Linked DNA regions of Caenorhabditis elegans. The protein of the gene in region 1 purifies or fractionates together with the protein of each later gene. This does not show direct contact. Each region holds a gene or a part of one and is shown in the gene's direction. Other genes may lie near its edges.

The links.
Region 2: the proteins of ZK470.6 (region 1) and npr-22 fractionate together in Caenorhabditis elegans (co-fractionation; one large-scale study listed by BioGRID). This does not show direct contact.
Region 3: the proteins of ZK470.6 (region 1) and clec-91 fractionate together in Caenorhabditis elegans (co-fractionation; one large-scale study listed by BioGRID). This does not show direct contact.
Region 4: the proteins of ZK470.6 (region 1) and etfb-1 fractionate together in Caenorhabditis elegans (co-fractionation; one large-scale study listed by BioGRID). This does not show direct contact.

What each region holds. Positions count from the first base shown.
Region 1 is NC_003284.9:4,173,586-4,180,533, reverse strand, and holds ZK470.6 (MD-2-related lipid-recognition domain-containing protein), read left to right. Parts: upstream 1-3,226; coding exon 3,227-3,325; intron 3,326-3,373; coding exon 3,374-3,593; intron 3,594-3,640; coding exon 3,641-3,854; intron 3,855-3,905; coding exon 3,906-4,050; intron 4,051-4,170; coding exon 4,171-4,263; 3' UTR 4,264-4,469; downstream 4,470-6,948. Other genes in the region: mrp-6 (Multidrug resistance-associated protein lethal(2)03659), read left to right, coding at 221-341, 416-519, 922-1,125, 1,171-1,419, 1,804-2,079, 2,129-2,305.
Region 2 is NC_003282.8:8,556,279-8,565,519, forward strand, and holds npr-22 (Neuropeptide receptor 22), read left to right. Parts: upstream 1-3,153; 5' UTR 3,154-3,189; coding exon 3,190-3,339; intron 3,340-3,719; coding exon 3,720-3,852; intron 3,853-4,000; coding exon 4,001-4,542; intron 4,543-4,972; coding exon 4,973-5,100; intron 5,101-5,158; coding exon 5,159-5,323; intron 5,324-5,457; coding exon 5,458-5,521; intron 5,522-6,397; coding exon 6,398-6,520; coding exon of another isoform or gene 6,521-6,563; 3' UTR 6,564-6,883; downstream 6,884-9,241. Other genes in the region: mpst-6 (thiosulfate sulfurtransferase), read right to left, coding at 7,326-7,504, 7,547-7,889, 7,939-8,319. UniProt on the Caenorhabditis elegans protein: Receptor for the LURY-1-1 and LURY-1-2 peptides which control food-related processes including feeding, lifespan, egg-laying and roaming behavior. Receptor for flp-7 which stimulates serotonin-induced fat loss.
Region 3 is NC_003279.8:9,124,364-9,131,046, reverse strand, and holds clec-91 (C-type lectin domain-containing protein 91), read left to right. Parts: upstream 1-3,945; 5' UTR 3,946-4,016; coding exon 4,017-4,140; intron 4,141-4,192; coding exon 4,193-4,562; intron 4,563-4,620; coding exon 4,621-4,804; 3' UTR 4,805-4,907; downstream 4,908-6,683. Other genes in the region: ZK858.8 (t-SNARE coiled-coil homology domain-containing protein), read right to left, coding at 4,961-5,071, 5,118-5,362, 5,432-5,540, 5,593-5,722, 6,195-6,319; ZK858.2 (uncharacterized protein), read left to right, coding at 6,606-6,683.
Region 4 is NC_003279.8:2,416,360-2,424,069, reverse strand, and holds etfb-1 (Electron transfer flavoprotein subunit beta), read left to right. Parts: upstream 1-3,716; 5' UTR 3,717-3,723; coding exon 3,724-3,771; intron 3,772-4,031; coding exon 4,032-4,499; intron 4,500-5,221; coding exon 5,222-5,473; 3' UTR 5,474-5,609; downstream 5,610-7,710. Other genes in the region: F23C8.7 (Tyrosine-protein kinase), read left to right, coding at 1-138, 849-1,227, 1,275-1,420, 1,471-1,665; did-2 (Charged multivesicular body protein 1b), read left to right, coding at 2,373-2,406, 2,465-2,571, 2,632-3,108; F23C8.13 (PDZ domain-containing protein), read right to left, coding at 5,613-5,699, 6,496-6,888.

The sequences.
Region 1 (6,948 bases):
CATCCTATCCTAAAACACTACTCGGAAAAACCCTAAGAATTTTTCTTAGAAAGAAGAACCCCTAAAATCTCCTAGAAGAGTGGAAACGACAACCTAGAAAAGATCCTCTAAGACCCACCCTATAGGAAATACCCCCTAAAAACACCTAGGTAAGACCCCCCTCCCTAACGCCAGAGCCCATTTCTCGAACGAACTATTTTAAAATTTGACCTTTTCACAGGATGTTTATATGGCCGCGTACAACATGGGACTTTTGTCCGCCCGTTGGTTCGGAATTTGCATCGACTTTTTGGTGTCTGTTTTCGTTTCCATTGTGGCGATTGTTGTTGTTCTTCAATATGGTAAGTCAACACAGTAACGTTTATCCACCGCGTCCATCGTATCTTATTTCAAAACAACACTCCGAGATTTTTAGAAACCCTGACCGTCGGAGAAGTCGGATTGTGCCTTGTGTGCGCGGTTCAGTTGAGTGGATTCTTCTCGTGGATCATGCGGCAAAGCGCCGAGCTGGAGAACGGGGTGAGTTTATTTTTTGCTTGTTTCTTTTTTTATCGCGGGAGATTCCTCCAATTTGCTCCCCCTTCTCCTCCTCCTGCTCCGCCATCAAAGGTCGAATTGAGCTCACTATGCGGTTGGCGAAACATCATGATTATAAAGAGTTTTGGACAATGCTCAAGCGCGAACTGCCCTGATCAGACGATTGAAGTGGTTTGTCGCATTTTCCACACACACACACACACACACATCACAACAAACACAAATGGAATGTTTGTCATGGTGGCGCCAAATGAGCGACCCACCCGAAACTCTCAATTCGGTCTTTTATTCTAAATGAATACAATGTGAACACAGCAAATGTTGCAAATGAAGACAATACAAACATAGTAGTATGCGGATTGAATTCAAACTGTCGATTTGCAGATGGTTTCCGTGGAACGAGTGCTAGAGTACACCAAATTGAAATCTGAAGAAGAAGCCAGAAGACCACATGATGCATACCTCGATAAACAGCTACTGAACTCTTGGCCAACGAAAGGAGAAATCGAGTTTGAAAATGTATCTGTCAATTATGGGGAGACCAAAGTACTCAAAAATCTTAGCTTTGTTGTTTTAGGTGGACAAAAGGTGAGTTACTAACTTTTTGTTCAGAGTATTACTTCTGAAACTTAGATTGGAGTCGTCGGCCGAACTGGTGCTGGTAAATCAACACTCATTAAAATTATTTTTGGACTGAAAGAGTACTGCTCTGGACGTGTCACTATCGACGGTGTGGATCTGGATCACATTAGTCTTAACTTCAGAAGAGGAGGAATGTCTATCATTCCGCAGGAGCCCGTAATCTTTTCAGGAACGGTCCGGGAGAATTTGGACCCGTTCGATGAGTATGATGATGCTACTATTTGGTTTGCGTTAGAGCAGGTATGGCTTTAATTTATTGAAGAATAACATGTGAGAATGAAATTTTTATAAGCCATTTTTATGGCCCCTATAATCTTGTTTTAACACCATTGGCTTTACAAATTTTATTGAAAAAGTAAAATGTTGACTGGGCAAAGATTGAGCAAGACTTGGACAAGACATAAGCAAGACTTGAGGAAGACTTGGACATGACCCCTCCCAAGTCTGATCCAACTTTTTCTCATATTTTAACCAAGTTCAAACTTCACCTCACCGTAGCCCTAGTTTTGTCCTATGTGTGCCTAAATCTGATCCAACGGTCTAATTTAATACGAGATTCCGAAATTCATATGAAATCGAAATTTTTAATAGATTCTGTAGGATAATCGTTGAAAAAATTTTCAGTGTGAGCTTAAACGTTCCATCACAAAAGAAAAAGGATTGAACGTCGAATTGGGCCAACGGGGAGTCAGCCTGTCTGTCGGTCAGCGTCAACTTTTCTGTCTTGCCCGAGCAATGATCCACCGATCCAAAATTCTTGTTATTGATGAAGCAACCGCAAATGTTGATGGAGTGACAGATGCTTGCATCCAGAAAACAATTCGAGACTTTTTCAAAAACGCCACAATCATCACGGTGGCCCACCGTCTTCACACCATTATGAACAGCGATAATGTAATGGTAAGTGGTTTCTCAACAAGCAAACAATGCCTAGGTTCGCAACTTGCAGGTGTTTGAAAAAGGAGAGCTCGTCGAGTTTGACAAACCGATCACTTTGCTGGATGATCAGAGCTCGCTGTTTTCAAGAATGGCTGCTCAATCAGGGGCTGAAAATTTTGACTCCCTTCGGGCGGCTGCATTGGCCCATGCAATCGATGATCAGTCATCGTATACGGATAATAGTTAAAGTTTCATTAAATTTCCATGTTTTCTAAATATTCAAATCATAACTTGTTTCACTTTCACATCATTTTATAGCAATTCAATTGTTCAATGTCACCTTTTCAAAGGGAATCGAGATTGTTTTTATTTCACTTTTTATTCCATCATTCCATTGAGCACAATAATTCCTTGTTCATACCATGATCTAAGATCATTTCGGTTTTGGCCCAGTGATCGCATCGTCCACATCGTGTAGCTTTATATGTGTCGAATTTAATTTTTCTTTGGTAATATCAGCAATTTTGTTCTGTGGTTTTTTTCTGACTTTCATGATTCTAATCGAAACATGTATTTCATGCAAGCTATTCTTTTCTCCATCCCCCTCATTTTTTTCCAATAAAGAAACTCTGTTATTTTTCTGTTTTTATTTTGTGCTCTGTGTTTGCACTGTCCCATGGAAATAAGCAGACCATTTCTGTGACGAGTGTCTGATAAAAACTTGTCAAGAGTGAGGAAGAGAGCCGTCTAGAAAGCAATGAGCAAATCTTCAAATGCCAAAAATGGCAATCTCGAGTGCTTCACCATTTGCTCTAATTAGAAATTGATCGAGCGACAAATGCGGGCTCTCGAGTGATTTGGCGGAGCTTTGGAACCAGGTGCGAATCGCGTTTTTGTCGGACTTTCAAGAACGCCCCACATGTTGGGCGCTCTACAAAAAAAGACGGTCAGGTATATAAAGCACAGAAAACAGCAGAACAGAGCGCACCCGTCGACCTCCCGCTAGCACCTGAGGCAATTCAAAAACCAACCCGCACCTTTTCGTGCGTCGAGTGCTCTATTCAATTTGCACTCATCTGTGTTTTATTCTAAACATTCGATACACCCAGGTTGCGGCCAGTTCCAAAAAAGTTTCCAAGTGAAGATTTCAACAAAAATTCTGTTAACGATGAATTTCCGTTTTATTCTACTATTCTTAATATTCCCTTTTGTTTTTGCAAGTTTAGAAGAATTTGAGCAAGATAGCGCTGAAATTAAAAAAGAAGTGGTATTTTTTTGTTTACTTGTGTTTGTTTTGATTTAGTTTATTTTTTAGCCTGCTCGTTTTCGATCTTTCAAAAACTTTGGTAGCCATCAAGATGCCAGTAATCAAGCTGCAGAAGTAGCTGGCTCGAACGAAGATAACACTGATGACCCTGAAGTTGCACCGGATGCTCCATACCTTATGGCAGATTCTTCTCTAGAACAAGAAGAAGAATGCGTTGCTCTTCCGAATCGAACACGAGTTCGTCCGTCGTTTTTCCAGTGTAAAGAAGGTACAGTACTTCTAGTAAAACAGAGCCCTAAATACCAAAAATTGTAGACACAAAGTTTGAACTTCACGGCGGTGCAATTACAAACGGCAACGGTGATGATACCTACCCGGTTTCCTTCAACTCGCCTATTCGAATTTTCCTCGACATCACCAGTAATTCTAACAAACGATATGACAATTTGGGCGTCGAAGTGTCAATCTTTAAACGTTCAACCGGATGGTTCGGATGTGGGTGGATGTTTTTACCAAGCTTTGGGCTGTTGTAAGTTGTTTTCTTTGCAGAACACCGAAAAACATTGAATGTTTTTTTAAGGAGCAACTATGATATGTGTGACGACAACCCGTCATGTCCGGTGACTCCGGGACGTCAGGTTATCGAATTCGAGATTGATCCAACAAAGTTGTTTACGAATCTGTTCCGAATGATTCACTATGACTTGGTGGGTACTGACCATAAGGTAAACGCGATGGCTATTGTACTGGAGAGCCGTTGACGGACGCTTAGCAAATACGTTTTTTTTTCTTAAATTGAAATATTAAAAAGAAATCCACTTCTTCAGTATACTTCAATTTTTCAGTCCGCCTACCAAATGATGGTTCGAGTCCGAGACAATCGAGATCCCTACCGAGAGTTGCTTTGTGCTACGATCCAAACTAGAATCACACTCTGAGACCAAGACACTTTTTATTTATTTATTACCAAGATCCTTATCAGCAGTATTTATGAACGATAACCGGGACGCAACCCAATTAATTTAATTCCCCTTCCCTACCTTCTCCCCCAGTGAACACCAGAACCAAGTGGTTTCTATTCATCCAGTTGTTTATGATTATGACTCTCTGTTACAGGTTATCAAAAAATGAATAATATAGTATATTCTGTTTTGATATGTGGGAATGGTCTGGAACAACTAAGGTGCATGTGTGAATAACAAGAATTGAAAATCACATGGGATCCGGCTTTCGTTAGATCTCTGTTTTGACACATGTTTATCTCGAGTAATAACGCTGAAAATTCCATAATTCCATAATCATTCTGCTGAGAGAGTAAATTAATTTCTTGCTACTCAGCGGAGAAAACTTCCAGAGGAATTAATTAGTCAAAAAGAAAAACAACAAACAAATAATATTTGTTGAGTAATGTACACTACTTGCAAAACTTTTGTCGACCAATGAGCATCAAATGCAATATGTTAAGCGATTAACATTAACGAAACTTTAAAAAATATGTATATAAACCTGATCGTTGAGAAAAAAGTAAATAACACCGGGGAAAGTGCGCGGGAATGGTGATAATGAAGTGGAAGCGTTGTTCGGGATAAGACCAGTAGCTGGAATGCAGTCTAGTATAAGAAACCTTTTGCTAACCTTTTACACAATAAATAATTAGTGCACTGGCATTTTGGAAAGATGGGAACGCTGAGGACAACAATAGATACGGTAATAACTTATGTGAGAGAAGTAAATAATTTTAGGTTACAAAGATTGCGGAATGTTCTGAGAAACTCTGATAATGCAGATAATAAAAAGCTTCGGTACAATATAAAAACACAATAAAATAAGTCAAAATAAAAGATTGAATATGAAAATCTGGTTTCAAAGTACTTTGACTATGATCAATATTTGTTTAATTTTTATTGATTAATATTAGATCTTCTCGGCATTTGGCTTCAACTTCTCGCTCAAGTTTGACCCTAAAAATATTAACTTGGACAAAAGTTGGGCGGGACTTTGGCAGAACTTGGATTCAGGCTGGGCTAAAGCTTATCCGAAGTTTGACCCAACTCTAGCCAAACTTTGGCCCAAAATTTTCTTGTTTCGTTTTAAACTTGGGTAGATGTTTGGCAAGAGTTGAGTCAAACATGGGTTTGGTGCTGCCAAAATCCAAGTTGCAGTTGCATATTGGTGTAACCTCCAAGTTTTGCCAAGGTCATGCACAACTTTTGCCTATTTTTAGTTTTTGTTTTCTGAGTAAGCTCAAAGGCAAAGTAACCCTACTGGGGAAATAAGTAAAAACCATACATTTTGTTTAAAAATTTCCAAATATCATAGTTAAACTCTTCACAATTTTTTTGAAATCTTTTTATTTCTATTAACTGTCATAGAATGTTAACACAGATTTTTGAAAGTCGTCAATCAGAAAAATGATCCTTCGACTTTAATGGACTTATTTTTCATATATTAATACTCTAACACTTTAGGAATTCCAACCTGCGACAGTTTTCTCAAAAAGTGACACAAACTCAGTAATTGACACTATTTGAATGTCAATAAAACGTTTTTCATCACTTCTTGAAATGTTTTTTGGCCATTTTTGGCATTATAGGAGGTTTTAATAATTTTCCTCGCTGGCGCAACTACAGCTTCAATGAAAACTTTCATACTTTGGAGTAAAGTGTTACGCTTTGTAAAAAAAATAGCATATGTACAGTTTTTTCTACTTAAATGAAATGTAAGACGTATTTTTAATGCTTTATATTTGAAACAGACCTTTTCTAACTGAGTGAAACTGTCAAACTTAAAAAAAGCTTGACTCGAGCAAAAATTTGAGGAGCTCAAATCTAAGCTTTTTCAATGATTGTTCAAAGTTTGACCAGTCTTACCCAAGTATAAAACGACACAGAATTGTTTTTCAAACTTGGGCAGGATTCTATAAAACTTTGTCAAAGTTTTCCAACATTTGCTAAATTTTAAACCAATTTTAAAACCGTACCTAGAACTTGCACAAACAGCTGCTGGCCGGAATATTCAGTAAGAATGGGACATTTCAATTCTAGAACATCTGAACATATGTCACGTTTCAATTTGTTTAAAACAATCAAAATGCACGAGAACCTAAAATGTAACGTTCACAAACACTTGAGAAACAAGTTGTGAGTTCACAAGTTTTAACAGTCCTCAAACCCTGCGATGAATAATTTGTGGCATTTTTTTAAGAGAAAATTTCAAAATAATTCAAGATTTGTGATTTAGTGTTTTGTTCGTTGATTACGATCTTTGGAAAGTTGAACGATGAAGTCCTAAAACATAAAACCGTCTTATCTGTTGTTTTTAAATTTTTTCAAATTTTTATCTTCTCACTTCAGTTTAATCTTAATGATTGTAGTTTACTCAAGGAAGTGGATTAATAAAAAATTCAACTGTTCATGTCAAGTATGTCACTTGGTTTTGTTATTGGCATCTTCTCCGAGTTCAAATGTTCACGTCCATGTTCTTGATCTGTTAATGACCAATTGAATTGTTTTCATATATTTTCGATTTTTCAGAAATACAACAAAAAATCGTTGAATTTCTCATTCATTTATTTGGTAAAACATGACCGGACAAAAAACATTTGGAACAAAAAATAGTGAAAT
Region 2 (9,241 bases), on another chromosome or scaffold:
CATTTAGAATCAGATGTTTCATAACTCAAAAATTGAGTTTTTCTAAAAATTTGGTTTTTATAATTTTTTAAAGAAACAAAGTTTTGAAAATCTGATTTGTCACCTATTTAAACTTGTTTCCGCCTTCTCAAATGTTATTTTCGGAGCCAATCATTTTCAAATTTGATCTGAACCACCTTCCAAATCTAGAGTATTACATCATTCAAAAAAGGTTCAAAGTCACCTTCATTCTTATAGATTTTTCCATTTTAAGATCAAATTTCAGAGTTCTTCGTTTTACATTATTCCTAATTTATTTCAAATGTCATGCTTCGACAAGTTCTCTCATTTTCTCTCCATCTAATTAGTGCGATATGAGCCGTTTTTTTCAATTTTTCATCTCCCACATTTATTTTTTTATTTTCTTGGTAACATCAATTCTTTTGAAAATACTATTATTATCTATTCTCACTATTAAATCAATTTATTGGAAAAATGAGAGTAATCCAGTCTAGACAAAACAGATATTGTTTTATTTTTTTGGAAATTTCTGGAAAAATCCAATCGAGAAAACTTATAACTGACGGTTGTGGTTCTTCTAGTGTTTGAATACCTAAAAGCTAATATTTTCAGTTTTCTGAAAAAACTATGATTTTACTATAAGGACATTTTTTGAATGTACACATAAAGTATAAAAACTGAAAGTATTCTGAAGCTTAATAGTAGAGTACCCCACCCCCATAGTTCTCTTGACCGCATCCTAACTTTTGACCTATATATCTTCTCTTGGCCAATGGACCGTAATCAATTATGCTCTTCCGTTAACAAATATTCTATTGAAAATGTCTTGCAGACTGACAGAAATCCGTGTGAAAAAAGTGAAAAAGTCGGATGAATTATTTCTGAATTCCAGTTTTTGACTAGTATTTTTTGAGTAAAAGTTGTGGTTCTTCTAACTAGTATATGCACGTAGAAAACGCCATCACAAATAAAAATATCATTAATTTTGCTCTTCATTGAATTTCGAAAGTTTTTTTTGAGCAGAATGCACTTGGGTTTTGAACTTTTTTAAAAATTATTCAACAGCTTTCTGAATCTGTCTTGTAATGTTTGAAACCTGATTGTGAATGAAACAAGAGTGAAGTAAAACAAAATAAATTTTAAGTTCGGAGAATTGATTATAAATGTTTATCTTTTTTTCTTTTTTGAAGGTGGATGTGGAGAAGTTGTCAAAAACCATTCCTATGATGCCAAAATGTTCAAATACAACTTTTCAAAATAAAAAGTGTGAAAATTTTTATTGACAGTTTAAAAGTGGCAATTACTGAGTTTTTGCCACTTTTTGCCATAGACGACTTCCAAAAAGCGAAGACTTTTCCAAAGTTTTGAAGCTTACTTGACATGAATGTTTTCTTATTTTCAGTCAACTTTATCTTGTTTTTTTCACAACATCGCACTACATCCAGACACATTTCTGTTGACTCAATATTAATTATTTATTATTTATTATTCATTTTGCAAGGATGTGGTGTTCTTATTCCTATTTTTATATACTTCTCCTTTTTCTTTCAGAAATTCTAGAAATTATTTTTATGCTAATTGAGATGTACATTTGAGACATTTTCATGCCGTGATGACGTAATCTATCTGAATCTTGAGATATCTATGTACATTCTTGCTAATAACGTGAAAGGTGTCATATGTACTGAGGTCTACCTTATCATTTCCTGATTATAACATCATTGAAACATATTTTAGACATATTTTAATAAATTTCAGTTTTTTTTTGTCCTATCTGGTCAATAGTTTTTTCTACAAAAAAATAGACAAATAAGAATTAAATTCAGCTAAAATTATTGAGATATAGTGTTGAAGAATACGATAAAACGACGGTAATCTTTCATTCGATTAAATTCTAGAAACCAATCGCGTATCCAAAATCTTAAATTTTTATAATTAACAGTTAGCTAGAGTTTCTTTATTGGAACATACAATTAGCACAATACAATTGGAAAACTTCGGTTTAAAGAATCTGTAACAATTTTCTTTTACTTGATTTTGTTCAAGTTTCTCAAGTTTTAGCACGTGCTCTAACCCTGCAATAAAAGTTTGTACTTTATTCAAGTATTCATATTGTACTTGTACTCTATCGTATGATCATATTACTCATGTCTAAAACTTCGGTAGACACGCATTTTTCCAACATTTTTCTTCCATAAATTCCTGTTATCTTGCAAAGTTCATTTGTAAACTAATACAACACATGTCTGGCTGATTTGACCTTTCTCATTGAAATTGATGGATCATGTGTCAAAATGGGACCACTACAGATCACTAGATACTACTATCACTATATCACTATTTAAACATGGCAGATTTCAAGAAAGTTTGCCACATTTTCAGATGAAATCATCTTATTAATTTTGATTTCGAAAACAGATATTAGCAGCCTACCTTCTGGATTTTTCGGTTACAATGTACCTATTTATTAATCAAAAACTATCACTTCTGCATTTTGTAATCATTCCCCAATCATCCTTGTGCGAAAAATAGGATAGTTCTTCAAGTTTTTCCCTTCCCTATACTTTTGCCATATATTTTTTTAATTCCCACTGGACTTTCCCAAAAGAATTATTTTTCGAATATACCACACTTTTAACAAATTTTCTGGATTCGGAAACATTATATTTTTTTTTCTACAAAACCGCAAAGACTATAGTCATTTTTCGAGGTCAACAAACATCCAAATATCATTGCGAGCATCCTATGTTCCTCTAATTCTCTCATACTTTGCTTCCGAAAACCCAAGAATCACAAAAAAATCTTGTTTGATCTTTGCCTTATTTTTCCAACTGCTAATTGACCTTCTTCGTTTATATAATTTTTCACTTTATAGAAATTTACTTTTTAATCAATTTCAAACAACAAAATTTGATACACTTTCTTAATATTATCCTTCTCCTACATTCTCATAAATTTGAAGGTTTCTCTTTCAACATTTCTGATCTAAAAAATGTGCGAGAAAATACATTCTTGGTTTCTTCATATTCATTTATTTCTCCGAAATATGTTCTCTTTTTCTTTGTTTTTAATTTTCGGTTTTCTATGAACAAGTGGTCTTCCTTATTTGGAACACTTCCCCAAACTCTTTCCGAATAAATTGTTTTAAATTTCAGATCGAACGATTCGTCATCTAATTCGTGAGCAAATATGGACGAAGGAGGGGGTATTGGAAGCAGTTTGCTCTCCAGAATCACGACGACAGCCTCTGAAATTATGATGCGAAACGAACCGACGACAACTGAAAATCCAGCTGTTCAAGAAATGAATCATATTTATCATTTGACACCAAGTATGAAGGTGAGACTTTTAAAAAATATTCTTATACATTCAAAGTATATCTAAAAATCCAAATTTTACAAGAGTTTTGAAACTTTGAAAAAAGGAACTAAAATTAGTTTTTTTTACATTTCATATTTAGGCAATTTGGCCATGTTTTTAGCCAATTTTACCTGCTGAAAATTGATTTTAACGTGCCATGTACTTTTATTTTAGTTAATTTATGATAGCGTTTTCTTCAAAACTTGAACCGTAAATAAAAAGTTTTGAAAATTTTTCAAGTGCTATCATTATTAAAATTCGGTATAATTTTTAGAGGCCATTTTAAGTGTAAAAAATGAATAAAATTACTACATTATTACCTTTAATATTTGTACCTATTTATTACTAATTTTTTACAGATGTTATGTATTCTTTTCTATAGTATACTTTGCGTATGCTGTGTCTATGGAAATGTGCTCGTTATTCTGGTTATTGTTTATTTTAAACGACTTCGAACGGCGACTAATATTTTGATATTGAACTTGGCAGTTGGTGGGTTTTGTTACTTTTGAATTTTTGAAAACTTTTTATAATTTTTCAAATCTCCAGAACTTATATGAGCTTCTAAATGGATAAGTTTAAAAAATTAATTAATCTAAGATGTTGAGCAAATTTCCCAAAAAAACAACTAAAATTGCAGCTGATCTTCTCATATCAGTATTCTGCATTCCGTTCAGCTATTGGCAAGTATTGATTTATGATGATCAACGTTGGCTCTTCGGCTCAATGATGTGCTCTTTATTAGCATTCCTTCAAGCAATGGCTGTATTTTTATCAGCTTGGACACTTGTCGTTATCAGTTTTGATCGGTGGATGGCTATAATGTTCCTTTTAACTCCAAATATTCGAATTACAAGACGAAGAGCTCTTTATCTGGTAGCTGCCACGTGGATATTCAGTATCCTAATGGCGTTGCCGTTACTCTTCACAACGAGATTTTTCGAAGACCAAGACGGTTTACCGAATTGTGGAGAAAATTGGACGTATTTTGGAGATTCTGGAGAACAAGTGAGAAAAGTGTATTCTTCAATGGTCTTAATTCTACAATATGTTGTACCTCAAGCAGTTTTAATAATAACTTACACACATATTGGAATTAAAATGTGGAATAGTCGAGTACCAGGAATGCAGAATGGAGCAACAAAGAAAATGATCGTTGATCGACATGAAAGTGTCAAAAAGGTGAGATTTCTGGAATTATTAAAAATTTAAGCCTAACCTTTCAAAAACTCCCAGTTTTGATTTATTAGAATAATAAGAATATGGAAATAATGCAACAATCAATGGCTCCTCAGTGCGGTGATGATAATAATAACCATAATCAAAGTCAACCGACCCCTATATTTATAGGAACAATATTCTCATGTGTAGCATAAAAATAATAATCAAAAATCGTTTTTGACATAACCTTTTCCAAATCATTATTAAGTGAAACTTTAAAATTGAAAAAAATTAAATCAAAGTTCGAAGTTATTACATTTTACCTGCCTATTACATGACGGTTTGATAAAGTTGTTCAGTAGATTGAAATATCGTTTTTACTTATTTTTATCAAATACAATAAATATTACCGCGTGAGAAACGAAACCTGTTAATTAAATAAGATTTTTAGCTGGTCCCAATGGTGATTCTCATTTCGGCACTCTTCGCACTTTGTTGGCTTCCTTTACTTATACTGATCAACGTCATTCCAGAATTCTATCCAGATATCAACAGTTGGGGATATATTCTGTATTTGTGGTAAGAAATATTCTTTTAATCTGACTCAATAATTTGGTTTTAAAAATCGCATTTTGAGGTGGTTTGCTCATGGACTTGCCATGTCTCATTCAATGGTCAACCCAATTATCTATTTCATTCGAAATGCCCGTTTCCGTGAAGGATTCTGTTTCTTCTCTTCAAAACTTCTTCCATGTATATCATTTAAAGAACTTCGTCTTTTAACTGATAATACTAGCAGAAGGTATGTCAATTTCTACAAAGTTGTCTGTTTTTGAATTGAAGCCAAGAGTTAGGAGCAATTCAGTTTATTTATGTATCAACCTTATTTGTTGATAACCAGTTTGATAATTTTAATAACTCAACAATATCATTCAGTTTTCGAAACCGTTCACGGTTTTCTGGTGTCATAAATCCGACTTCAAGCGATGAAAAACCTGCTGTAAGGATGTTCTCTAACCCATGTTTTTTGTCCTTCTTGACTTTTTGTTTGGCTTGGCTTTTTTATTTTTACATTTTAAAGTTTATTTTGCACTGCTTCACATGCACTAATATGTTGATTAAGTTAATTTCATTTTAAATTATGAGTATATCGTATTTCCTCTTTTAGTATTGCACACCATTGTTCAACTTTGACAGTGTATATCTCAGTTATCATTTGTTCCATTTAAAAATTGTCAACTAACAAAATATTTTTTAGTTCTTTTTCTATAATTTCGTAGTTAAAGATATAATGATATATTCAAAATAAACCGATATATAACGTTACAAAGTAAAGTTGTCCGGTGCATTACTAAGAGAGGAAATACGGTACGTTAAATTAGCAAAATTAAAAATCTTCTAAGTCAGCCTAGGTCGTTCAGCGCAGTTAATTTGCGATGGACCCATCAGAATCCTAGAGCAGTGATTTATCTACACATCGTCAAAAAAATCGGACATTGCGCATACTGCGACTCGTAAGCTGCCTATAATGAGCACATTGAGCCAGGATTGCTATGAAATCATTGTGCTTGTTTACTGAGTCATTATGTGCCTGTCGCGAATTAACTGCGAACTAAATTTTGCCACCAAATGATAGAGGGAAAACCCCTACTACTGAGAAAGTGTTTGCCGATGAAGTTTAGCGAAACCTAGAACCATAAGAACTTGTAAGTAAAACTTTAAAAACAGTTTTTAAATTCAAATGCTTTACTTCTAAACCCTTTTTATTAATTAAACGCCTCAATTATATCCACTGCCTAGTACACATTTTCCAATCTGATTATTTCCACAACATCGACTTTCTTCCTAGCCACAACCTAATTTTCAATATTTTCAGACATCGCTTACGAGATATTCACGAAGTGGAGTCCTTGACAGGCAAACATGTCGTTCGGCACGTTTCTTCGAAGCCCGACCACTCGTCGTCGTCCGAAACAACTCTGCCAATTCTCTCGCGTAGCTTTTCCCGTATCATTAAGAAAATTGATCTACCATGTACTTGAGTGGAAAGCTATAGAAGACCATAGATTCAAGGTTTTTGTTATTTGAAATTGTATTTTAAAGCATAATTTCACAAATTATGTTTATATTCCATCCATTTTATTGTATTGTAAGAAAAAACCCCTCAGATCTCCTAAGAAACAATTTTATATGAAACATCAATTGTTGTCTGAAACGCTTTTCATACCGGTAAATACTCGCCCCACCAAATCCACGAATCATCACCAATATTTTAAACTTGTACCATACAAATTGCGTGTTTTCATTTTATTTGAATATTTTTTCAAAACTAAATGTAGAAATAAATGTTAGAATACTACAAATTTACATCTGACAGATTTAAAAGAATCCAATGAGTTGACTGAAATTTTGTAAACTGGCAAATTACTGAGCAATTCAGATAAATATTTGATTGATTTCGGTTTCAAGCTTGTAGTTCCACGTGTGAAGGTTTATTTACAGAGATTCGGCATTTGTCTATTTTTAGAAGGGATGCATTTTCCGTGAATTGTATGCAAGTATTTTATTAAAGAAAAATGAAATAAGCAGTCTTGATAGGCAGACACTTATATTTAAAGTATATAGTCACTCCAGAAAACAGACAAGAAAACAATCAAAGTGAACAATTTTTATGCATTTTCATTCAATCTTTATTCTTCAATTTTCTCATACACTTCACAAAAGTAAAGCATATGAAAACCAAAAAACACAAAACACCGTCAGCGACTTGTTGTATGCAGAAATAAATCAGAAATGATTGTCACTTATCCCTTTGTGTTGAGATGTTGTGGCGCCTTGTAAGCCAACTCGTGGACTCCTCCATTGTACAGCTTGGCAACGATTCCGGAACGAGCAGCCGCGAGCCAAATAGCTGAAGCTGAGAGTCCGATTCCGCAACCAATGACAACGGTGTCTCCGACTTTGATTCCCTTGGCGGCGAAGGCTGGAAGTATTCAGTTAACTTCTGCAAATGATATCAACTAACCTTGATCACAATCAGTCTTCTTCTTGAATCCCTTGGCAGCACAAACTTCTCCGATTGGGAAGTGAATCGCATCCTTGCAACGAACACCTTCGGCTTTCGAGTCTGGATATCCAATTGGAACTTTTCCGATAAACTCTTCCTTCGAACGAGCATCCAAGTACTTGATACTAGCCAAGTTATCGAATGGAATATCAGCCATCTTGGCAAGAATGTTGTTGTCGACCGATTTAGCTTCATAGTTTCCAGATGAGATCATGCTCTCACCGGATTGAACGACACCTTGGGCAAGTTTGAATGCTTCAATACCACCGTTCAAGACAGATACGGTAGTATAACCATAGTACTGGAAACACAAAGAATTTAAATTTATTCTGATACATTTTGAAACTAACTCTGAATGTCCAGTAAGCACGAGAAGCAGCAGCCATACCACCATCTTTTCCACGTCCATAGATGACCAAATGATCTCCGTTGAATACACCCAATCTCTTAACATACGACGAGAATTCCTCTGGAGTGTACAAAGTGAACCGCTCATTCTCCGATGGATAGTATGCAATGTCAAAGTTGAAGTGAGCAGCTCCATTGATGTGCTCGGCAAGGTACTCAGGGTTCTTCAACTCATTCATTCCAACACCAAACTTGTTGTAGTACTTGGCCTTGTATTCGGCAATATCGGCTTTCGGCTTGAAGGTCCACGAGGCGTCAAGGATGCGGATGTTTCCAAAGTTTTGGACTACCCACTTCGGCTCGACAATCATATCCACAGCCATGGCTCTTCTTTCTTCAGTTGGTTGATAATCGCTGTTGTCACAAGACGATAAACTGAATTTTCGTTGCAAATCCCCTGTATTTACCCTTTTCTTATCAGGATGACACAATCTAAAAGGTTACAAAGGTTATTCGAGCATCACGTAAATTTTGATCTTATGGAAATTATAAAAGTCAGCATTATAGATTGGTGATAGTTGGGAATCATTTAATTTAATTAATTTACGCTCTCGAGGAATAAGTGTGAATAAAATAAATAAAGTAAAATAAAAGTGAATAAATGCATAAATGTGATTTCTCAAAAAATTTCTGAGCTTGTTTGAATTTAGATAACACTGAAGACTTTGAATCATTTTATAATTTAATTTCAGTTTCTCTGACGGCGACGAACAGATCATGCTTGATTATGATGCAGAAGAAGAACTGTTGGAAGATCCGTTCAAGTCAGTTTAGGTGTTCTTGAAGCTTTCTAAAAATAACTCGTATTCTCCAAGGGCACAAATCTGATTGTTGTTGAGGCTGGAAATTATTAAAAATATTCTGAGGAAGTGTTTGCTATGTAAAATTAATTTTTAAGCTTAAAACTGAGAGTGAATTGAAAGAGGACGGCATAGAATTCGTGCACCGCTGCCTGAATTCTATGTATTTGTTTATATGTAAATTCATGGACACCACTCCAGCCGCTGACCGCGCCTACGGCGCGGCCAACGACTGGCAACATTTGAAATGTTTGACACAATCATTCAAAAATGTCTTATGAAAAAATAATGAAACTTTCACATCTTCCCAAATGTTCCCGACTTTAAGCAAAAAACTATCAAAATATCTTGACATTATCCTCACCAATTCCCAAGCCAATACATTTTCAAAAACTTAAAACGCAATTTTCCACCAAACTCCAATAATCCTACAATAATCCTACAG
Region 3 (6,683 bases), on another chromosome or scaffold:
GTTACACAAAAAATGTATTGATGGAACCCAATGAGTGTTCTACGATGGATGTTTCAACGAGATTTTGGCAGAACTTTGATGGTATACAAATATTAGCTAATCTTTGGCCATTTTTACAAAAAAAGAGTTGAAAAAGATCATATAAATATTTTTTCTGGGCGACAAGGTATTAGAACGGGGAAAAATGAAATAGCAAGCTTGTTTTTACGAAACTTTCACTATGGAAAGCTGAAGAAGGCGACACACCCCCACATCACTTATATGTTTTTTTTTCTGCGAAATCGAAATTATCTTCAAAAAAAAATCTCGGAGGTCTTTTGGCATATTTGGTGGAAATGAGTCAGCTAGTTAAATACGTGTAGCTTAAACATAGAATGAATTCAAAAAAGATAATAAACGTTATCACTTACTCACACTTTTCATGGCTGAGGAAGTGGACAACTAGTACCAAACCGACGCCATGTACAAATCACATCAAATTTTTGATTGAAACAAAAATGCATGATAAAGTAGAATTTTGCCGCTTACACAATCGAAAGAAAAAACACTTTGAACTCTGAAATGTTATGCGACCAATTTTTTCAGTGTAGCATATAATCTCAAGTCACAAAAGACACATTAAAAAATTTTTCCCTAATCTTTCGAAAACATCAAAAATTAAAGCTATTAATGCAAAAAGATTGATAACCAATGAAGGACAATAGAGCGAGCATTCAGCAAAAATTACATATTCTGCAAAAAATCTGAGGAATATGATCTATGTTGAATGGCGAATGGACGGGATTCGTGTTTTTTCTTATTTTTATTTTTTGCAGCTGGAATGAGAGACTGAGGAAAGCAGAAATGAAATATCAAAATAGACTAAGGACACTCAAAGCTATAAATTTCAAATATGTCTACTCTACTTTTGGCCTCCGACACATTTGCAAGACTGCATAACAATCTATTTACATTCACAAACTGCATTCCCACAGAAGCCATTCGCTGTACCCCACAGAAAACAAGCATTTCTCTTAAGAGCTTTTCGTTTGGAAAAATGATGAGATTTCTGCAGCTGACAATATATGATGACTATGAGAAAACATAGAGATGTATGATTCAATGAGTGAGAAGTGGACACAGAATATGAAAGAAGGAGAGATACGGTCTCTCTGTTGCTACCAAAAGGCTACAAAACATGAAAACCGTATTTTACTTTCTAATCGGAGCCATGCTACAGCTTAGCATGATGAGATTGGGATAGATTATAGGCTCGAAACTACGATAAAGATAAAGCTACGAATATTTTAGCCTTCTTCTGATCCCTCTTCCAGCAAGAAGATACGTGGAAAGAAAAACGAACACTATTCCCTCAAACATTTGTGACACACAAACAGTGTGTAAAGTCGGTAGACGCGGAGGCGAATCAAGATACTAGTGTCATAATGTAGACTACACACTACGCTAGTTGAAAGTCGATAAATGAAAGATCATCATCCATCAGGACATGAAATATGAAAATATTTATCAAATGCATAGAAAATTTGCAAACATCGTTGCTAACAACTAATAGATCAAGGAATCAAACCCATATTTGTTTTCGGATGTTTTATTACGACTAGAGTTCGCACAACCAACCGAAAAACTTTCTTGTGACGGTAGAGCGAGTTGAAAACAACTTATCGCGAGGATCTTCGATTTCGAGGATGTCTGGGAAAATGGAATAACAGAGATCATTGTTCCGAATACCTACAACTACGTTGGCATCGAAATTGAAGTAACAATTAAATAGTTAATTTCGTAAAATTTTTTATAATCTTATAGAAAAAAAAAACATCAATATATTTTGAATGAAGCTCTTGGGTAGCATATGAAGCCAAAATATCAGATCTTTGTAAATACTCAAATTGATGTTTCGTATGAAGACCAAAAAACTAATGATTTTCCATAAAAACACGTTGTCTAGGAGAGAAAAACGAGAAGAAATGGCACGGACCCACTCTATGTGAGGAAAAAGAGAGTAAGGTCGGCCAACGAATGGAAAATGTCTCTCTGTGGCTTTGTTCACTGATGCGAACGAGAGTGAGAGAGTTGCAGAGAAGAACACAACGCTTCGCTCCTGACTCGGAGACGCAGACGATCAACGGTCAAACAGCAAGCCCAGCAAGACATCAGACTATAAATAGGTAGGAGAGAGAAGAGAATTAGATAAACAAAGTGAGGAATGGAGATCATTGAGAACATTGAGCTTTACCCTCGCATTGGGAAACTTCAGATAAGGTGTGCTTCTCGCAATTCTTTTTGTTAGAAAATCGTTTTCAAATATATAAAAGAGAGGGGCTGATGATGAACACTTGATGTTTGATCAACTTTTTCCTCGTCGATCATATGGGTGATTATTGAGTTAGATAAACTCAAACCTGGCCTGCAAATTCCTCGTGGGAAACAAAGAGATGGATAATGAGAAAAAGTATATTATCGGAGTTAAAGAAATTGTAAATGGTGACACTGCTAGAAAATCAGAATTCGTAGGAAATACATAATTTATGCATCTTTCAGAAAAAGACATCTACGTGATTCATGGGAAGTTCTCAAGGACATTTTCTCAAGACATTTTGAAATATCTTGAAAAAACATCGAAATCAAACGTCAGCAAAATTTTGAATGATCTCCTGAACTTTTCACCATACCGTGACCTGTGTTCTCTTGCAACACTTTTGTTCGTTTCATTCCAACTTAACACATTTTCAAACTTCAACAATGTGATCAAACTAAACAGAAAATACATAGCGTCGAGTTCTGTGTTCGATATGTGCTCTCAAATGAAACACGGAGCGGGAATACACTATAGTTTCTTTTTATTTTCGCGCCGAGACCAAACAAAGCAAAGATCTAACATTTATGCAGCACAAAAACAAAGATCTAGAAGGAAACCGCACGCTTCTCATAGCTCGAAACAACAAAGTGAGAGGAGATGATGAATAATATGATTTGTAATAAGGAAGTGAGGATTAGGAATATGATTCTCAAATAATGTCATGGGGAATTTAGAGCATATCTCCTGTTTCTGGTGCAGAATTTAGAAATGGAACTTATATTCAAGAAATAATGCTTGAAAATTAGAAGAAAACACAGAGAAATTCGGAACAGGATAACAAACAAAAAAAAAGTTTTGTCCGAGAGGAGTTCACTGTGCGCTTTTGTAGTAGTCCTCTCAAGACCCAAGTGCCCTAAAATGGCTTGCGCCTTTAACCTCAATTCTTTTATTTGATTTTTATTTTCGATTTTATATCTTAATTTATAAATTTTAAAGAATTTGAATATTTATCCCAAAGCTTCGCAGTTCAAAAATAATTATTGAAAAGTACAGTATTTAATAAATCAAATGTATGATGTGTCTCATACGTGAATTCGAAGTATCAAATTCCATATTCGGGACGTGCATTTTTCATATCAGAAAAAATGTTAGCTTTTCATGGAAATAAAGTCAAATGACAAACTCTGATAAAATTCTGAAACATTCGTGAAATTTTGAGTGGAAATTTCAAGAATCAGAAAAAAAGATTCACTTCCTCTTCCCATTGTGCCAAAGATCAGTTTTTCAGAAATTTATGTTTATTTTTTCGTAATTTTCTATTTTGCGATAGCGGATTCAAGTCATAATAAAAGTAATTCGTAAATGTAGATTTTCTAACATCACAGTTCAGAGCAGAATCTCAAACATTGTGACTAAATATATGTAGTTAGGAAAATGAATTCATATTCATATGAACGCAAAAAGTAAAATGAAGCATTAAAACACACATTTGAAAATTTTTTCACCGAACGAAAATTTGCATCCGGTTTATAACATCTTATTTATACGCACGTATAAGATGTTTTTTATAGGAAAACAGCATCCCACACTCATAAATTGTTGATCTATTCCTTTTTTGATCTACCCGCCAAATTATGTTTGTTTTGCAGATGGGAATCAATGAAACGAAATATTTCCCAAATCAAAGAGCTGGCAGATATCTCTTATGTTCAACAAAGCCATGCGATCGACCTACATCCTTATCATCGTCCCACTGATCATCATTGGAGGCGGTGTCGTCGCTGACAACACAAATGAGACGCCTGTTCTCGCGCATTCCTCCGATGAGCAACCTCATCAAAGATGTAAGTTTTGATTTAGAAAATATCGTTGTTTGGTAATTAATCAATCTTACAGTGACATACTACAACTGGGACCACAAGGATCTTGGCACCAGCGCATTCGAGGATCTTCCACCGCTTCAAGATCAGCCGACACCCCTTCCAATCGATCAATCCGATCGTTGCCCGGATGGCTGGTTGAGATATTCGGACTCGTGCTACTTCATCGAAACAGAATCACTTGGATTCGCAAAAGCCGAACGAAAGTGCCACGATAAGCAGGCGACACTATTCGTTGCCAACTCGATGGAAGAATGGGATGCTGTTCGCGATCACGCTGAAAAGTCAGTCTTGTCATGGATCGGTCTCGTTAGATTCTCACATTACGAAAGATTGGAGCAGTTGCCAAGATGGCAAACTACTGGATCCATTAATCCATCTAAGATGTGGGTTTTCACTAAATCTTCTATATCGCTTCGCATTTTTCAAAAAATAATTTTACAGCAACTGGCTCATCAAACCGTTCAAACCAGTCGTCAATGGATGGTCATCGTATGCCAACTGTGCTGCAAGCTTCCAGTCTCCAACCGAAGTCGAATCTGCTTCGTACACCTTCTTCTATCCGTGCACTATGGCGTTCAAATCAATCTGCGAACGCAATTCAACCATTCTCAACGCTAGAAATTAATCTAAAATATGTTCGAAACTGCTCACATATCTCTTACATTAAGAATTATTTTGTACTACTTATTTTAAAAATTTCTTCTCACAATATAAATGATTATCATTGTAGAATCTTTATAGAACACACACATACAAGTCAAGTTCGAATTTATGTAGTCATCTATTTCTGAATACGAAGTCTATCAATGCGGCTTAAAATATCATCAAGTTCGTCGATTTCCGTCGTCAATTGTCCGGCAGTTTTAATTAGTTCGTTGGATAGATCATCAATCTGGAAAAGTTTCAATAAGTAGATCACTGCAAAAACTTCAACTTACAGTATTGAATTCAGCCGCGTTGGTTCTCAAGTGAATTTCCAACGTGGCAAGCGCTCCGCTCAACTCTTGCTCCGTGGCACCGAAATTAAGAAGCAAGTCTCGTGTCGCCAGAATTGTTTCAGCTTGATTTTCAGCACGAAGTGTCGAACGGATGCTCTCCTCGTTTGGAATGAAAATATCGCCGCCATTGAAATTATGATCAGACGTGGAATGCGAGAATTGATGCGTTTGTTGCTCAATGTTTTCTGAAAAATTAACTTTTAAATGCAGATGGATTTTTTTTTGAAATTTTTTCTAAAACGAGACAGACCGACCTAAAATATTTGTCCAACATTGATTCTCTCGATTATCGTACTCTACAGCAGTTCTTGTTTGATAATTCTTACGTGTCATTGTCTCAATTCTTTCCAGTTCATCTCTTGACTACAAAAACTCGAAACATTACAATTTGAACAAAGAAAAAACAACTTCTCACCATTACATCTCTCTGAATATTAAGATTGCCTCTTCTTGGCATATTCATATTGTTATGACGTTGCTGGTGGTTTCTACGATTTTGATTCGGAGCCGGAGCATTGTGACGTCGGGGGGGCTGTATGTTTCTGCTGAAGAAGGAGCTCAGTCAATATTTGTGATTTTTCTCCAACAACTTTTAAATAATCTTATATTTTCGGTGAAATGTTTAAGTAAGACTACAGTACCCCTGCCTTAACATAACCCTATAAGTCTCAAGGGATGTATTCCAAATGGTCCCGCCGCACCCGGAAGTCACAAAAATCTGTATTTGTTCGCGCCTTCAAGGTTACTGTAATTATGGTATCGAATTATTTTTCTTTTTTATTAAATTGTTTAATTTTTTAAAGAATGTTTTTAACTAGTATTTGGTATCGTAATGTTTTCGTCTGAAATTGCGATGAATTATTCAGAACACCAGACATAAAATATGCGCATTTCTACAGTAACCTTACAGGCGCGTTGCTCGCGGTGAGACCATATAACGTTTTCCTTGAAGCTCATCGAGGAAGATATGTATAACTGAGACACATAATATTATTGCTTCATACTTAGGTCACTTACTCCACGACTTGATTTTGTCTAATTTGCGGTTGAACTGCTTGAAATTGTCGATTTCCACCAGCTTGAGCTCTTTGTTGATTATTCATCATAAATTGATGGAATTCGGGATTCCAAATTGGATTCATGACGGAACGTCAGAGATTATCGAGTTTATTGAAATGATTTAAAAAATATTCGACATTCGATTATAGTGATTGATAACAACTGGAATAAGTTATAATGTAAATAGGATTTCACGTAGAACAAATTTTTTCAGTTCTAATTTTATTATATATTACAATTAAATATTACATTTCCTACGCCCTGACCAGAACGCAAAAAAAACAATTTTAGAAAACAAAATAGTTCATAAAAAGTTGAAAACAATTTATTTCAATTTTAACAATCTTATTCAACTAACCATCACTATCAATGTCTTCTCCAAGTTCAGCTTCTGAATCTGATTCTAGTCAAATGTCTCTGTTGGCAACGCCACCCGTTGCAATTCGA
Region 4 (7,710 bases), on another chromosome or scaffold:
GAGGTTTGGAAAGGAAAGCTGACATTGAAGAATGGAAATGTCGAGAATTGTGCCATCAAAACCGCCAAACTGGAGTCACTGAACAAGGAGCAAATCAAGGAAATTATGCGAGAAGCCCGGCTCATGAGAAATCTCGATGTAAGTTGATATTTTTCAGGGAAAATTCTCTGAAAATCTATGAAAAACGTGACTTTTGGGTCCCGACACGACTGAAACTTTCACAGCTACAGTACCCGTATTCGCGAGTACGGTAGCTGAGAAAAATTTCATAGGCGTGACGGGACCGAGCACGGATTTCTGGCTTCCCTCATCAAATTAAATGGAAGTTTTTGCCGAACTAGGCCATTTTGGCTCGGCCATGTCTAGGGTAGATTTACGGCGCGTTGCGTGTCGCGTCGCGGCTCGATTTCAGTTGTAAAACTACACGGGGTTCTAGCCTTCCTCATTGAATTTTTCGCGCTCCATTGACAATCGCCCGCCGGATAACGCGTGGAAAAGTCGTGTACTCTACACGGACAAATACATTTAGTTTTACAACTAAAACCGAGCCGCGACGCGACACGCAACGCGCCGTAAATCTACCCCAGATATGGTCGAGCCAAAATGGCCTAGTTCGGCAAAAACTCTTCCATTTCAAGGGAAGCCAGAAGCGTGCGTACTCGCGAGTACGGTAACTGAGAAAAATTTTACAGTCGTGGTGGGACCCAGGTTACATGAAAACGCAATGATTTCTCACTGAAATCTTGTGAAAAATTGAAAAATAGAAGAAATTTTGAGTTATTTTTTCTGAAAAACTCGAAAACTCCTTTTAAATTTCGATTTCGCCCAAAAATTTAATTTTTTTGCAGCATCCAAATGTCGTTAAATTCTACGGAGTTGGTGCAAGCCAGGAGCCGCTGTACGTCATCATGGAGTTGGCGGATTGTGGAGCCCTGGACTCGTACCTTCAGAAGAATCCGAATTTGGTGCCCGACAAGAAGATGGAGATGATCTACCAAGCAGCGTGTGGAATCTCGTATATGCACGAGAAGAAACTTCTACATCGAGACATTGCGGCGAGAAATTGCCTGTATGGAGGTGGTCAGGTCAAGATTGCGGATTTTGGGTTATCCCGTGAGGGAATCTCGTATGTCATGGACCTGACGAAGAAGGTTCCGATTCGTTGGTTGGCTCCGGAGACGTTGAAAGCGGGGATTTATAGTCCGAAGACTGATGTGTTTGCGTTCGGTTAGTCTTTCCAATAACATTTTCAAATAAAATAGACATTTTTTCAGGAATAATGGCTTGGGAGATCACTGAGAATGGGAAGGAGCCGTACCCAGACATGAGAGTTGCTGACGTCGTCGGAAAGGTCCGTAATGGATACCGCATGCGGTTTGATCCGGTCTTTGTGGACTTCAGATTCGGCGACTATGTCACGGTTGGTTTGAATCTGAAATTATAGCTAATTACTAATTTCTCATTTTTCAGAAGCACTGCTGGGCTGAAAATCCGGCGGATCGTGTGAGCATGGCGGATGTTCTGCGCTATCTTCAGACAACTTTTGGGATGAAGCCAGTGGTTCTATCGATTCTATCGAGCAATCGCTCGACCGAGGAGGAGATGAAGACGATGAAGCCGCCAATGTTCTCGGTGAAGAGAAACAACAAGAAGAAGCCGAAGTGATCTTTGATTTGTTCGGAAATAAAGTTTTGATAGTTTTGACTTGAGATGTTAATAAAATTGTTTTATTACCCTGAGAATTCGAGAGAAGAATACGGTACCTGGTCTCGAAACGACAATTGTTTGTTAAATGCGTGAAGGTGTGCGCCTTTAAAGAGTACTGTAATTTAAAAATTGCGGTATTTTCTTCAATTTTTTTATTTCTTTTGATTTGTTAAAACATATACTGTTTTTTGTTAGTTTATTGATGAATAAATTCAATTTTTTTTACAAAAAAACTACGAAAAGTCGATAATTACAGTAATTTTCAAAGAAAGGCGCACAGATTTATTCAGATTGGTCTTGGCACGCAAAAAAGTTTATGGTAGTTTATTTTTGTGCGATTTTATCTATCGGTGAAATTACGATGTTAATTTTTTCAAATTCATATAGCGGATCTGGAAATATTTTTGACGTTGATAATTTTGTGTTTTATAGCCTGAAACCGACTTAAAATACAGAAATTTCTACAACCCAAAATTGTCGTAAGATCCGCTGCTTGCGGACATCAAGTGTCGTCGTTTATGACGTAAAGTCCGCAGATACACACACATGACTCATGAATTTGTTTTTATCGCTTTCTTGCGAAATTTAACTTATAAAAGCACTTTCTCACCGTAATTCTCGTATTTCAGAAACTCAAATACCAGCTTAATACACATAAAATCATCATGGGAGCCGGAGAAAGCAGTATGGCCTTGGAAAGTGAGTTTCAAATTGATTTCTCTTGATTTTGACTTATTTTCATGTTTTTATCTTCCAGAACACTTATTTGATCTTAAATTCGCAGCGAAACAGTTGGAAAAGAATGCTCAACGATGCGAGAAGGATGAAAAGGTCGAGAAAGACAAGCTGACGGCAGCTATTAAGGTAAAAAATAATTAAAAATGAAAAAAAAAACAATTATTTTTTAAATTCGATTTTTTCCAGAAAGGAAACAAAGAAGTCGCACAGGTTCATGCTGAAAATGCGATCAGGAAGAAGAATGAAGCAGTGAACTACATTAAAATGGCCGCCAGAATCGACGCAGTGGCCGCCCGAGTTCAAACCGCCGCCACACAAAAACGAGTAACCGCCAGCATGAGCGGCGTAGTGAAAGCCATGGAAAGCGCCATGAAGAGCATGAATCTCGAGAAAGTTCAACAGTTGATGGATAGATTCGAAAGAGATTTCGAAGATCTCGACGTGACCACAAAGACGATGGAAAAGACGATGGACGGAACGACAGTGTTGAATGCTCCGAAGTCACAGGTGGATGCTCTGATTGCAGAGGCCGCCGACAAGGCAGGCATCGAGCTCAACCAGGAGCTTCCGTCAAACGTGCCAACTGCTCTGCCGACCGGGACGCAAGCTGTTTCAGAAGACAAGGACCTCACAGAACGCCTGGCTGCTCTTCGCAACATGTGATCTTCCAGATTTCTCAAGAAATTTCTGTGAATATGAATATTCTGCTGACGGTTTCATTTTTAAAATTAAGATACTGCTTTTTTTCTTGTATATACAACATTTCTCTCAATAATGAAGCAACAATTTTTCTGCTTTTTTTTTGTTTTATCTAATCTATCTAGATCTACGAAGTTCAGCTCATGTCTTCTTCGAAATATTTATTCTTTTATTTTTCAGAACATTTTTTCTACAAATCGGTCGCTTACGTGTAGGCCACAACAATCACCGCCCGCGTTTCATTCTCTGCGTCTCTCGTCTTCCCACACTCTCTCTCCACATCGTCTTATCTCTCTCATCACTTGTTTTATTATTTTTATTCTTATTTTTCACGAATTTTCTATAAAAAACGGAATTTTCGAAGGTTTTTAAGGAAAAACGTGGCAGTTTTAAAGCTATTTTAAACATTTTTCGGCTAAAATTTCGAATTTCGGCTTTAATTAATTGATTCAAATTTAAAAATCAAATTCTGAACTCTGAAGTGTGTACTTTGACCCCGCCGCCGCTGTTTTTTTCGATCATTTCTTCATTTATTAATAAATAAATAAATTTATTCCCAGTTTTTCTTCCAGCCAAGCGATGAAGATTCTCGTCGGAGTCAAGAGAGTTGTCGACTATGCTGTCAAGGTAGGATTTCAGGAAAAAGAGCAAAAAATTCGAAAAAACAGCTTAATTTCGGCGAAAATCTTGAATTTCACCAACTTTTCCGTGTCGCAGCAGTTGGAAATCAGTTTTTTGTCATTTTTGGCTCAAAGTGTACCCCAATCAACGGAAAATCGATTAAAATTGGCAATAAAAGCTGATTTCCAACCGCTGTGACACGGAAAACTTGGATAAATTGGAGATTTTAGACACATTTCGATTCTATAAAAGCCCAAAATTTCCAGATCCGTGTCAAGCCGGACCGCTCGGGAGTCGTCACCGAAGGAGTTCAACACAGCATGAATCCATTCGACGAGATCGCTTTAGAGGAGGCCGTCAAGCTCAAGGAGAAGAAGCTCGCCACCGAAGTCGTCGCGTTCTCGCTCGGCGGACCAAAATCCGCCGAAGTGCTCCGGACCGCGTTGGCGAAGGGCGCCGACAAGGCAGTTCACGTTCAGGTGACCGACGCCGAAGCTGGCAAGCTCGAGTCATTCCACGTGGCGAAGGCGCTTCAGAAGATTGTCGAGCAGGAGAAGTTCGACGCGGTTTTTCTCGGAAAGCAGGCAATCGATGATGATTCGTCGCAAACTGCTCCGATTCTCGCTGGCCTGCTCGAGTGGCCACAGGCTCTCTACGCGTCGAAGGTTGAAGACGCAGGCGCTGGACACATGAAGGTCACCCGTGAAATTGATGGAGGTCTTGACACGATTAAGGTGATTCTTACTATATCGATCGATAGCCGTGAAAAGCAGCCCCGCACAGAACGCGAGACGGGGCTTGATATTGCAACCCTGCGGCACGGTTTTTCCTTTTTCCGCTTGTTTTTTGTTTGATTTTTTCAATTTTTCATGTTTTAATCTCTTTTTTCGAATGAGAACGTTATTTAATTTAAAATCAAAATTTATTAATCGATCCTTAAATTTTGCAAAAATTTGTCGCACAGAAAGTGGGGCGGAGCGTAGCTTACGCAACACTGCCGCACGGGGTTTGTCTCCGCCCCTTTTCCACTGCTTTTTTTGTTGATTTTTTCAATAAAGTTTCGATTTTTCTCTTTTTTTTCGAATTGGATTTTCATTCGAAAAAAAAAGAAATTATTGAAAAAATCAACAAGAAAAGCTTAAAAGCAGTAGAAAAGGGGCGGAGGCAAACCCCGTGCGGCAGTGTTGCAAAAGCTATGCCCCGCCCCACTTTCTGGGCGACAAAATTTCTTGCAAAATTCAAGGATCGATTAATAAATTTTGATAGTTAATTAAATAACGTTCTTATTCGAAAAAAAAGGAGATTAAAACATGAAAAATTGAAAAAGCGAAAAAAGGAGGAAAAACCGTGCCGCAAGGTTGCAAAATAACGCCCCGCCCCTATTTCTGCGCGCCGCTATTTTGTTTGCAAAATTCACGGATCTAAAGTTTTATTCGAAAAATTTTCTATTTTCCAGGTCAAAGTGCCATTCGTCCTATCCGCCGATCTTCGCCTCAACGAGCCCCGCTACGCGACTCTTCCAAACATCATGAAGGCCAAGAAGAAGCCACTGAAGAACATTCCAATCAAAGATCTGAATGTAGATATCACACCACAAACTGAAACTCTTGAAGTCACCGAGCCACCAGTTCGCCAGGCCGGAGGATTCGTCGACGATGTCTCGGCACTTGTCGCCAAGCTCAAGGAGAAGGGATTCGTCAAGGCTTAAGCCCCCGATAACCTCTTCCGCCGCTGAATTATTGTAGTAGTCGAATCAGAAAATTTTGTATTTAAATTATTTTTATTATTTTTTCTATTCAATGTTTTATGTGATGCAGGTTTAAAAAAGTATGAAAAATTATTTTTGTTCATAAAAGTGAATAGCTTGAACGGGAAACGATCAAAAAACGGAATGCATTGTTCACAAAACCATGGGAGAATTGGTGTAGGTAGATCTGGAAATATTACGGATTATTATCTGGGCGCGAAAAATTACGCGCCCCGCCCCTAAACGATGGGTCTCGTTAGGTAAATATTTGGCGGCAAGACGGGAAATTCAAATGTTTTACATTATTCTTGCCAATTTTTAAGCTTTTTTTCATATTTTTTATAAGTTTTAGGTCGAAATAACGATTACTTCCGACGATTTTACCCGTTTTCAAGCATTTTTCGTTATTTTTTATGTTTTTATGCCGAAATTATGGTTAAAAATGATTATGACATTAACTTTTTCAATTTTGACAAAAAAAAACTCATTGAAAACAGCGAAAAATGCTGGAAAATTGGCAAAAACGGTTTTCCCGCCAATTCCTAACGAGACCCAACGGTTTGGGGTGGAGATTTGTCCGTGGAGCGCAATTGCACTTTATAGTATTACGGAAACTCACACATTCTGAGAATGCGTACAGCGCAGCATATTTGACGCGCAAAATATGAAAATATCTCGTAGCGAAAACTACAGTAATTCTTTAAATGACTACTGTAGGCCGATTTACGGGCTCGAATATTGAAATGAATTTCATTTCGAATAGTGACAAAGATATTCAATTTTTCTTCGTTTTTCAAACAAAAAATCATTTTCGTAAATCGACACAAGTGCTACAGTAGTCATTCAAAGAATTACTGTAGTTTTCGTTACGAGATATTTTCATATTTTGCACGTCAAATATGTTGCGAAATACGCATTCTAAGAATTTTTAAGTTCCCGTAATATTGGAATTTTTGGAATGAAAAAAAAAAAGAAAAACTTACCATTCTAGTCTGAGAATTGCACTGGGGACATATGGATTTTGAGGGCGATGATGTGTTGAATGACTCGTATTTCGGAGATTTCATGCGGAACGACGTCGAGTCCCCACACCGGAATACCTCTGCCGACCTTGATGACGTCATCCGTAACGTGGCTCGCCCTGAAACGACGTGTCGTGTCTGCTCCCGCTGCTCATTGCACATTGAGAGCCTCGCCTGCCGCCGACGCCGCATCATCACACTCTCACCGTCGGATCTTCGTTCGATCAACAGAGTCAGCGAATCGGAGCGGGACATCCAGAATCGGAAGATGCTCGCCGCCTGATCTACGGAAACGGCGCGAAGTGAGATCTTGTTGCACCGGAGTAGACGATCGCCTTCTCGAAGATGTGTGCTCTGGAAGTTTTTTAGAATTTTTTTCGAAAAAAAAAGTGACCCCTAACTGAATTATGAGTGCAGCTAAGCATGTTGAGCTCAAGAAAAAAAGAAAAGAAAAAGTAGCGGCCATCCAATTATGTGTACCCGCGGCTCATCGGACTTGAGCGAGCCCTATTACTCATTCAAGTGCTCACTAAATTGGCTTTTTCTTCTTCTTTTTTCTTGGGTCTTGCCGCGATTATGCACATATGTGTATAATAATTTTTCCCCTATTGTGCGCCTTTAAAGAGTACTGTAGCTTCAAAGTTTTGTGGGATTTTTTTTGATTTCTCATAGTGTTTCGTTAAAAATCGATTTTTTTAATTAAAAAATTACTGAATTCGATTTTAAAATTTTTTGTTAAATATAAACGGGTGAGCGCCTTTAAAGGGTACTGTAATTTCGAACTTTCGCTGCTATGGAATTTTTTAAATAGATTTTTCGTAGTTTTTCGATAAAAATATATTTATTTATTTAAAAAAAGAAATAAAACAAAACATAAAAACTACGAAAAAATCGATGCAAATTTCATAGCAACGAAAGTTTGAAATTACAGTACTCTTTAAAGGCGCGCATCCATTTTTATTTAACAAACATTTTAAAAATTGAATTCAGTTTTTTAAATAAAAAAAAATCGATAAAAATCCCACAAAAGTTTGAAACTACAGTACTCTTTAGAGGCGCACAATAGGGGAAAAATTGTATGTGCATAATCGATAATTGTCGTGTACACGTGGTATCAGAGTGTCTCATTTCGGCTTGATCTACGTAGATCTACAAAAAATGCGGGAGAAGAGACGC